Drosophila melanogaster: one gene and its partner. The protein of the gene in region 2 interacts with the protein of the main gene of each other region in a pairwise test. Each region holds a gene or a part of one and is shown on either strand. Other genes may lie near its edges.

Region 1 (4,656 bases), on a different chromosome or scaffold from region 2:
AATCGATAAAGTGCAAATGTAGACAAATTTTCCCTGCTATTTGAACCGAATCGGGGAGCTGCGGAGTCCGGATTAGAGCTGTACCCACCATCCTTGAGCAGCTGACGCATCTCCTTGGTGCGCTGGAAGTTAATGTCCTCCAGGAGCTGCTGCAGAGGCGTCTGCGAACCCTTCAAGAGGGCGGCGGCGGCACTGGCGAGGGCCATCCTAAAGGGGGATTTTCACGGCTCCGCGCTTCCGGATGACGAATGTCGATGTAGAATGGTGAGTATTACTATTTCACAACGTCCAACACATTACGGCCTTTGCGGGGGTGGCGGCAACGTTGCGGGGACGCGGCTAGTGATGTATATATTGCAGCATTTGTTGTTGCTCCACGGTTGGAAATTTTTTGCAGTCGCAGAATCAAGCGGTGCAGAGGAGCACCTTATCTCCACGGCACATGCAAATCGCAACTGAGCAGCAAACCCTCGTTTTTTTCCCACTTGGGGGTTGTTTTATCCCTTATTCGCGGTGCATACCCCATCTGTATTATCAGTTATCAGCTGTTCCCATAATTTCACTGCCTCTTTGTGTTATTTATTCGGAAATGTCGAAAATTCCACGGTTAACTCTTTTGTCTAGCTGAGCTTTTATTGTTTAATGCAAAAAAAAGATAAATAACAATAAATAAACTCAGTAGTGTTGCAAAAGCGGTAAATTAAACGATAACAGCAAACGTGCGGCTCTTCGATTAAAGCTCTATATCAGTTATCGAATTTAAATTGATTTAAAGTTTCATTAAAAAGTAATGCAAACTAGTATTATTTCCTATTGTTCGTGAACATTCCTAACAATTTCGGTTTGATTTGATTTGAAATTTAGCTCAGTTAATATTGTATCCTCTTTTTTTTTCAAATTTTTAATCAACAAGATGAATGCTATACACATGAATAAGTCATTAGTTAAACATGGGAAACAATGCTTATTGAATTCAAATACCAGTTTTAATCTGCAAACTCGCAGATCTTATTGATTTACCACATCGTCATCGGATTCCCGAAGATTTTTTATATCATCCTGCAGCTCCTTCAGCTCTCGAAGCATTGATCGCGTCAGCTGGCCCTCTGGAGTGGCCAGTGGCTCAAATAGAAGCATTCGCAGAGACTCCCGCAGCATGACCTCAACTCGTTCCAATTCCGCCTAGAAAAAATTTCATTAATTTGACATTAAGGAATAAATCCAGGACTTTCCCACCAGGAGGTCATTGGCACTGTGCTCCATTTCAGTATACATTTTTCTGGCCAATTCGGCCTGTGTGTTAGCCAGTTCATAGAGGGCGATAGCCTTCAATCTGGAGATTCCAGGAGTTACGACCTTAAGTACCAACAATATCTCCTGGCACAAACGAATCTTCCGCTCGTATACTTTCTTATTTGGTCGGGTTCCCATATTCTGAAGAATCTGTCGCAATATAGAGGCGATATTTTGCTTTAGATCGAGCATTAGGAAATGATTCCGATGAAGTAGGCGACTTAGCTTGGCCAAGAGTAGCTCCTGCCGGTATATATCATCCCTTGCGTGAAATATTTCCTCCTTAGCACGTTCCAGCATATTCGAGACAAACTCCTGTTTCAGTGTGTGCTCCGGATTAAGAAGGCACTGCCATATTCCGGTATCCGGCTGACGCACTATGTAGCCATCTACGCACGAGCATTGACTGCAAATGAAACTGCTCATGTGTGTTCCCAGCTCGGTGGGATCCTGGCATCGCGGACAGGAGCAGTCGAAGCACTTGCCCACCTTGAGGATTTTGCGACGCTCCTCGGTGCCCAGGAGCACATTGGTGTAGCAATTGTAAAGGATCTCTCCGGCGGCTATAAACCGATTTGCGTAGACCTTTATACGTTGCTCGTCATCGATTGAGATGACCAGGTTGGGCGTGCAGCTGTGGGCGAAGAGTCCTGCCCGGCGATACAGTCCTCTCATGGCGCCACCCACCTCCGGGGCCCTTATCTCGTAGGCATTTATGTCCAGGATGCCTAGGAGACCCTGTACTAGGTCCTCATCCGCCGCACCCCGTAGTTGTGCTAGCACTCCACCATAATCCAGAGGAGTAAATGCGTGCTCCTGGTAGTTTTTCCAGACTTCAGTCCCTCTTCTAGTCATAAGTTGGGAATCCATTTGGGACATTTCCTCGTACAAGGGCAGGGTTTCCTCGTGCTCTCTTAACAGCAGGCATTTCAAAACTGGCTGGATTTCGGTGTGCTCCTTTTTCTGAAGCAGCTCCACCTGGTCGTCCGAAAAATTCATTTCAGCAAGCCTTTTGCAATCTCGTTCGTCATGATCCGAGCAATCCTCACACAAAGCTAACAGACGGCACTTTCTAAGGGTTTACATAAGATTCGTAAATGGATAACACATTTGTATGGAGTCCACCTACCGACAAAAACTCTCGGTTAGATTAAAGCACTTGGAGCAGCGTCTTTCGCCCATTAGGGGCAAAACCACGATAGGATTCTCCAGCAGCAGGGTCTCGCCAGCCCGAACATTACAGAGGGCAACCGCAAATCTTCAGGGAAACCCACAGGGGTTAAATATTTTAAATGGGTTATAGATGCACCCACCTGCCCAGCGTGTCATTCTGCTTTATCTCGCACTTCCTTGCAAAATCGTCGGTTACTGCGGCCATTCTCTGTTTCCCGTTCCCTTTGGCTACCTTTGGCATACTGACAACACAACCAGCGCCATGCTGGCAACTTATTTTTAATTGAACGACAATTCTTTATTTATTTCTTGGTCAATGATTCCCCCCACCCAGCCATACGTTGAACCATGTCGCCGGTACACAATGTAAAAGTGGCAACAACTGAAGGGAGCGCATTGTGTTCGCTTCCCTTCGACTAATCAAATTTGTTTTAGACTAAAAATTGCCGGAGCAGGGCCACAAAGTGGATATAAGATATGTACCCAAAATGGGGATATTATCTGCCGTATTTCTTCAAATCGGACTCAATCCGCTCCAGCTCCATTGAAATCCGGTCTGCAAGATAGCCTTCTGCCGAGTTTTCTGGCTCAAAGCGAAGTAGGTCCATTGCTTCCGTGGCCACCAGACTCGCGGTCCTTAAATGAGCCTGTGAATTGCATTTATTTAATAATTGCAATTTTAAAAGGGTATTCACTTTACTCACCACATATTCTTTTTTGCTCAGATCACTTTCGGCAAATTGCAATTCCACCAGCTCCACCAAGGCCAGCAAGTACTCAAACAGACCAATGGCATACAGCTTGGAGATGCCTGGAACCACAGCCCGACAGACGGGCAGTAAGTCGGAGCAGAGTTCCACCCGGCGGGCGAGAAGTTTCTTGCACGGCTGGTCCATGGAGTTCATTAAAGCAGCCGCTCGCAGAATACTGGCAATGTTCTGCTTGATGTCCAGCAGCATGAAATGATTGGGATGGAGCAGTGGCCCGTACTGGGTCAGTAGAGCTTCGTATACCTGCAGGTCACCCATGGCGTCTACTAAGGCCGATCCCACTGCAGCCTGTAGTTCGTGGACCTCGGCAGCGGTTAACAGGGCTCTACAATCCGGGCAGCGCCAGTCTCCAAGTTTTCCATTTGAATCAATCTCGCAAACTGAAAATCCGGGGCACTCCTTGCACTTCAGGCTGCTCATGTGGGTGCCCATCTCGGTCGGATCCAGACAGCGCGAGCAGATACACTCCAGTCTTCTACTTAGACGCAGTTGGTGTTGTCTCTGACTGGTGCCCATCAGAGGATTGGTGTACGAGTTGTAGATGATGTCGCCAGGCTGCAGGGGAACCGCCGCATATAGCTTCATGTTGAACTGTTCATCCAAGGCCACCACCGTGTTTGGAACGCAGTGGTGCGGTAAAGTAGCACCCCAAACAAAAATTCCCTTCAAGGTATCACCATCCTTTGCGGTCACCTCGAAGGAATTACTGTCGATACGTATGCAATGGGCGTGAAGTGCATCCGAAGTTAGCTCCTGAGTGGGTAGAACATCCGCTAGGCCACTCTCCATTAGTGGACGCACCACTAGCTCCTCGTGCTCTTGCCACATTCCTTCTCCGTCGCGGTAATCACTCAGATTTATAGGAACATCGATGAGCATTTGGCAATCGCCTTTTGTACGAGGATTCTCTAGCAGAAGAAGGAGCTTTAGGAGTCCACATATGCCAAAGTTCTTCACAAGAATATCCTTGCAGAGGGCTTTTCCTGCTCCGCTGGTGAAAAACTCACACTCGAATTCATCATGCTGGTTGCAGTCCATGCACAGGGGAAATACCTGACACCTTCGGCATATCACATAGGATTCCTGAAGGCATTGCGCGCACTTCAGCTGATGGCATTCCCAGTGTGGAGCTACCAGCAAGGGTCGCTCCTCCAATATGGTATCTCCCGGTTCGATGGCTATACTAGCCACCAGATGCCTGCACAGAATTACACTTTAACTATTGTTTTAGAAAGCTATTTGAACTTACCTGCCCAACTTCTCATCGTGAGCATGCTGAATATTTTCGCCAAATTCTTGCATCGATTACGTCTGTTGCCTGGCGAGAAAAGTAATTTAGTGATTCTGCCATCGCCGTCGTGGCTTGTGGTTCGTCTACTCACCTAAAACGCACTGAGCAATTATAAATATACTCTGCAGT
Region 2 (6,422 bases):
ATTGCCAAGTAGCACTAATATTATTTACTTTTCGTTAGGTTGTGTTGTGCCAGCTCAATAGATAAACACGTGTCGCCATCAGCCATTTCCCGCAAGGATTGGGGTTTGGGATCCCACTTAATGCCTATGGCTCCTCCTGTCATTCGGTGGAGCTGGAGCTGGCCGGGGGCAACAATTATGCCGAATTAAGTGCTGAAACTTTGGCTGCATTCTCAATAAGCCAAACTTTTACCGGAACGCACAGAACGGAAAATTATAAAACGTTAAAATTGAAAAATCATGCGCCAGTGAGGAGCAACCAGAAGCCAATATCCAGATGGTGCCCACGGCCAGCAGACGAGGCCGAGTATAATTGAAAAATATAAAGTATCGCCGCAATCTGATTAAAATTACATTTAAATAATAACAACAAAAACAAGGCGGCCAACCTGGGGGCGGGACGAGGGCAGCGGCGAATATTCTGTGATGTGCGTCAGGCACGAAACTTGCAATTACAGTTTGTAACGCGGTGGCAGGTAAAAAACTTTACAAAACTTTCCAATTGCTTTTCATTGAATTGTTATCGATAGTGAAGAGAATGGAAAAAACGCAAGGAAAAATGGGCAAGGCAAAAATAGAGAAAAATGAACAAATATACCTGGTTGAAGGCTCGAGGTAAGAAATTCTTCAAAGGACTCGCCAAATCCGTAGCGTACTGTACAGCGTTCTTTAAGTTCCATGTGCCACACTTCAATCACTTTAAATTGGCATTTAAAGCAAGCTTTACTTATTTTTCGCTGTCATCGCTTGGTGATATATTTATACAGTTTGATTTTACATAATATGGTTAGCTTAAAGGCTAAGGCTTTGATTTTTGATGGGCATGATATACATATTAACAGATGTACGTAATGCTTTTGAACTGAATGCTTGCGATGGTGCGTGATAGCAGCTCAACTGATTTTGTTGCGCAGATAATACTTGATGAGCTGAATGCACACCTCAGCATCCTCGGCACTGTCGTGGCCAGCCTCTGTGGAAGAAGGAAATATAATAATTATAATAAACTTCTTACGTCAAGTGATAAAGTAAAAGACTAGACACACTCACCGCTCTCCTGTATAATCCGCTTTAGGTTTTCAATGCACAGTGTTTTCAGAGCTCGCTTCTTTGGCGGTCCCATCTTGTGGGGAAACAGCACCGATGTGTCCACCACAACGTCGTGAATGAGTTTGAGTGCCTTCAAATCGCTCTCCAGACTGTGGCCAACGAGCACGGTTTTGGCATGGAACATGGACATCAGCACCGCCTGAACGTCGCGTATGGTACGCGTCTCATTGGAGAGCATCGCCTCCGTGATGCCCGAGTAGCTGAAGTCAGAGTATTGCAGATTAATACGAAACAACCGAAAAGCTACATTCACCCACGTCGTATTGTAGTCCACAATCTGGTTGTCCGGCTTGACAAGAGCATCGTAAACGCTGCGTCCATTTATGTCCACCACCGTAACGCGGGTTAGCTCTATTCCGTGTGTGGTATAACACATCTCGCAATCCAGTGCATATATGTCCTTCTTAGTGGGCACAAATTCCTCACCCCGTTCGATCGTCTTCACGAAACAGGTGAGCTTTTCCGGATCGTAATAGTCGCTGACGTGGTAGTTGGCATAGGTGCAGCCTGGAGTGCCCGCCGGCTGCTGGCAGCAGCGATGCTGGTGGTCCGTGAATCCTCGTCGATATCCCGTGCTTTTCGGATGGTAGTTGCACATGTCAAAGCTCTGGTGCTCGTATATGTCCAAGCTGAATACCTTGCCGCAGCGGGAACAGTAGCGCTCTTTCTGGTTGGGACGACGGTTGGGGCGGCAGGCGCGTATCACTGCGGATCCGCGCTTATCGCCCGGACGCGGATATCCGTTCTCCACCAGCTGCTCTTCAGTCAGGCGAAGATCGAATACCATTTTGTAAGCTTTCTCGGCGTCTAAAGCATCGAAAGGTTCGCCATTGCCCAAGGAGCTCAGTTTTCTGCAATAGATATATATTTAATGTTTGTTAGGGTAAAGATATCAAAAACTTTTTATATGCAATTGAAATGTTAGAAATACGTACAAATGTCATAAAAGTTAACATTCATGACTTCCAGGAAGAAATGTGAAGTCATAAAGAGAAATTATGCTTATGTTTACGTTTATGCTTGTGGCCAGTGGCAGTATTTACAATTAAGCGAATTTCATCTTATAATGTGCACATAGAGAATAACTATAGTTTAGTATACAAACCCACCCCTTTTTCTCTACGCTCCAGGATGTGGTGAGCGCCCGCTTGCCGCCCAGCATCATCTCGTGCGACACAGTCTTGCAGGCTACGCTCGGCTTGTTTCCCGCCTCTAAGGCCTCCTTGCGGAGCTTGTTAATCGCCAGCATGCAGCTGTTCTTGTAGATGGCAGGCGTGTTGCACTTCTTAAAGACGGTCAACTCCTCCACCTGGGCGCGCTCCCAGGCATCTGCCAGCTGCGGATAGATGACGGTGCAGTGCCTTACCATCATCTCATAATACTGAATGCGCACGTTGTATGATATCTTGGAGCTGCTGGGATCTAGGACGGTTGGCTTCTCCGCGTTGGACACAGGAGCCGCTTTGTCTAGCGCAGCAGTGGGCTTGTGAGCCACACGGCCGGCGCCCTTGAATGATTGTGCAGGCGTAAAGGCTGGCTTCTTCTCGGCCTGCAGCTCCTCGATCTTTTTTTTGGCCCGAGCGATGGCCACAATGTTGGCCACAGGTGCTATGCTGCGAGCTGGTAACCAAAAATATTTGAATTTGAATTATTATATATTCCAAAGTGGTATGCTCACCTGATCGCACTGGTGGGGTCAGAGCACTTCGCGAAATAAGTGGCGTGAGGTTGGAGTTGACCTTGGCCTGACGGAGCTCCTCCTGCGCTTGGCGCACCCGCTCCTGTGCCTGACGTACCTGCTCCGCTGAGGCTTCGGCTTGTAGCTTCTCCTGGCGCCGCAGCTCCGCGCGGCGGTTGAAGATCGCCTGCATGGCATTACGGACGTGATTGGGTTTGCGCATCGCCGCCGAAGGAGCCAAATGAGGCGTGATCTTGTCAGCATTCTCGTGGGCCACCCGGCGCTTCTGCAGAGCCGCCGTGGCTGCCTCGGTGAAGGTATCAATGTCCGGAGAAGGAGCTTTGCGCTTGCGAGAACTCTCCGGGTTGGCATTGCCGCCTTCGTCCTTGTGCATCTGCGCAAATTTTTTTTCCATCTCGTCAAAAATCATTTCACACTGGCGTACAATTTCTCCTTCCGAGGTGTCTGCTTCAAAATCAAAGTCCATGTCATCCAGATCATCCATAGGTTCTGCTGGTGTCAGTACAGCTGCTTCAGTATCCTTATCCGCCTCCGGTTCGCTCTTTGAAGTGCCAGCGCTTTTGCTGGAAGACGAGCTCCTCTTAGTTTTGGACCGTGAACTCGAGGAACTAGATTTGTGATGATGGCTCTTCGAGGAGGATGATGAAGAACTGCTCTTGTGCCTGCTACTGGAACTTTTGTCGTCGCGGTGCTTATCGCTGCTGGATGACTTTTTGCTGGAAGAGGAGCTAGATGAAGACTTGTGCTTAGAGGAACTTGAGCTTGAAGTATTTCGCTCCTTGGAGCGCTCCTTGTCGCTGTGGGAGGACTTTCGCTTATCCCTATCATTTTTTTCCTTCTCTCTGTCCCTTTCCTTGCTCTTCTCTTTGTCTTTTTCCCGGTCCCGGTCCCGGTCCCGATCCCTGTCTTTGATCTTTTCCCTTTTCAGCTCTCTGATCTTCTTCTTTTCTATATCCCTTTCCCGCTCCTTGCTGGGCTTTCGATCCTTTTCGTGGCTATCCCTAGCATCCGTCAGTTGCGTATTCTCCTGGTCCTCCTCGTTTTCAGCTACCGTATCTATCTTCTGTTCTTCGTCGTTATTCTGGACTTGCTCCTCAATCTCCACCTGCATCTGCTCATCAATTTCCTTTTCGAGTACCGCCTGCCAATCGTCATATTCTTCGCCATTTGTAACAGATGGCTGGCCGGGCACATATTTGGGAGCACTGTCCACGGACGCCTCCTGCTTCTTCTTAGCCGGCGATGCGTCAAGAGCCGGCTTCTCCGGGTGGTACTCCAGATTGGACTTCTTCCGGGGCGCACATAGCGTGATCTGGGGCAGTGGAAGGGAGAGCAACTTGGGTGCCGGCTTGTACTTGGGCACGGGGGAAGGTTCTGCAGGTGGAGCGGCCTCCAATTCGTCTGTAAACCGAGAGTGGATAGAATTTGTTGCGAAATTAACTGGACGTAATTCACTCACCTTTGCGAGCATGCTTAAAGTGGCAAAAGGGGCGCTTGCAGGACGCCGCATCCTGGCCGTCAAAGTAAGGGCACAAGAAGCCCTTAAAGAGACCCGTGGATGGCAGCATTTCCACCTCTTGCTGGGATTAGAAATTTAATAAAGCCGCTTGAGAAAACAAGCGTCCCAAATTTCTTTCTATTCTTTCTGCCTGTCTCTTTCACTCATTTCGACAGATGTCAGCTGTTTCAGCTGCTGGCGGCGTTGCCAGATAGGCGTCAGCATGGATGCTATGAATGGATGCTAAGGAATTAAATTAAATAAATTTAAATAAGTTTTAAATATTTACAAAACATTGAATGACCTATTTAATTAATAATTGTAAACAATATTCGCATTTTGTTAACGGTTACAATGTACGTTTATGGCAGTTGATTGCATCAATCCGGGAGGATTATATCTTGCGGTACGATGTACAATGCTATGCGATGTTAATAAGAATAAGATGTACGTAATAAGAATGTGGTGACTAACGGTATAAACAAATGGTGTAAAAAGTCTGGCAACTCCTGCAAACAGCTGTTTGCTGTGCCAATTTCCTATAGGGTCTTCGCCGCTTGTAAACAAAAACGCAGCAGTATAATAATAAAAATAATTGTTTAACCTATAAAATTGTTTGCTTATCTAGCCTAATGAACTTGATAGCTGCGGAACCGTTTTAATTTCGATCGAGTGCATCGCAAACTGAAGTTCGGGCGCGACATTCAACTGCCGCCTCATCGAAGGTTTGTGTGGGTGTGTCTGCTGGAATATGTTATTAAAAAAGAAATTCATATAGAAATTCAAATGAAACCGGCCATTATCGGTGGCCGACTGTCTGCAATAGCAATGATTAGGGTGATATATTATCGCACTGAGTCAGTGGACGCGGGTGGCGGATCCCACGGTGCGATAATTCAAGTGCTCCCCCTCCGGCAAGGTTTGCTGTGATATGGAACCAACCTATGGATTCAGTCGTATAACGGCAGTCTGGCGCTTCAGTTGTCTCCGGCAAAAGTGAATTCCCCATCGAGTACAAAGGTCAGTGGGCTAGAAATTCGCCTATGATTTCACCAGTGCGCCGGGAGTATAAATATTTATAAAGCTCCCCAATCCGGACTTTGTCCAGCTTGAGGAGATTAGTGAAGATAGTCGTCTAGCTGCAGTCCAAGAAAGATTACGTTCAACTTGACGCATAATCCGCTTAGTTGCACATTAAGTGTTCTTAGTTGTGTGGTATTAATTTGCACACCATTTTAATGTTTAACCTATAAGATGAGATCAATTTATTTCCGATGTGAATGTACTCAGTAATGTATTGGGTGAACTTTGGACCTGACGAACGTAAAAGCGATTCCCGATATGATTATTGTACTAATCTGACTTAGGCCTATAGAAAACCACCACACGCGCAGACTGATATCAACGATTCCAACGTGTCCCCCGCAGCTAAACCACCATGGACCGGGCTAGTCTATATTTTATGAGCAAGGATGATAAGAACACCTTCGACTTCGACGAGACCTTACCTTCGCTCCCGCTGCCGGAGCTTAGGGACACCATGGAGCGCTACTACAGCTGCATCCAGCCATTCGGGACCAAGGAGGAGTTGGCCCAGGCCCGCAAGACTATTGATGAGTTCCAAAACGGAGTGGGAGCCCAGCTGCACGAACAGCTCAAGAAGCGGGCGGCCGGCATGAGGAACTGGCTGGGCACCTGGTGGGAGGACTACGGATATCACCTGATTCGGATGCCGCTGCTGCCCTACCAGCTCATGGTCATGCCCTCGCAATTGGAAATGGTGGGCGTGCCGGAGACACCGGAGTACATGCTGAAGGTGAGTGGACCCACACCCCAAGCTCTATAAGAACACAAAGTTTAAGATTGCCTAATTGACTGTATAATTTTCGAAGAGTCTGGCGCGCCACATTCACCACTCGCTGGAGTTTTGGGATCTGACTAGAAAGTCCAGCATCAAACCGCTCTCCTCGAACGGCGGTAAAATAAAGTACTCCTCCGCGCTGTACAAGCACTTCTTCTCCACGTGCCGTGTGCCAGGCGAGGAGCAGGATCATATAGAGAAGCATTTTCTCACCA

The links.
Region 1: the proteins of CG12877 (region 2) and SmydA-6 interact in a two-hybrid assay, tested with the Drosophila melanogaster proteins (one large-scale study listed by BioGRID).

Annotation. Positions count from the first base shown.
Region 1 is NT_033778.4:17,044,860-17,049,515, reverse strand, and holds SmydA-6 (SET and MYND domain containing, arthropod-specific, member 6), read right to left. Parts: upstream 2,678-4,656; 5' UTR 2,672-2,677; coding exon 2,607-2,671; intron 2,552-2,606; coding exon 2,423-2,551; intron 2,366-2,422; coding exon 1,237-2,365; intron 1,183-1,236; coding exon 1,009-1,182; 3' UTR 722-1,008; downstream 1-721. Other genes in the region: CG9646 (uncharacterized protein), read right to left, coding at 89-206; SmydA-7 (SET and MYND domain containing, arthropod-specific, member 7), read right to left, coding at 2,964-3,113, 3,171-4,434, 4,486-4,538.
Region 2 is NT_033777.3:27,705,204-27,711,625, reverse strand, and holds CG12877 (uncharacterized protein), read right to left. Parts: upstream 4,527-6,422; 5' UTR 4,417-4,526; coding exon 4,308-4,416; intron 4,250-4,307; coding exon 2,828-4,249; intron 2,770-2,827; coding exon 2,259-2,769; intron 2,001-2,258; coding exon 1,407-2,000; intron 1,350-1,406; coding exon 1,090-1,349; intron 1,013-1,089; coding exon 933-1,012; 3' UTR 769-932; downstream 1-768. Other genes in the region: CROT (carnitine O-octanoyltransferase), read left to right, coding at 5,785-6,162, 6,239-6,422.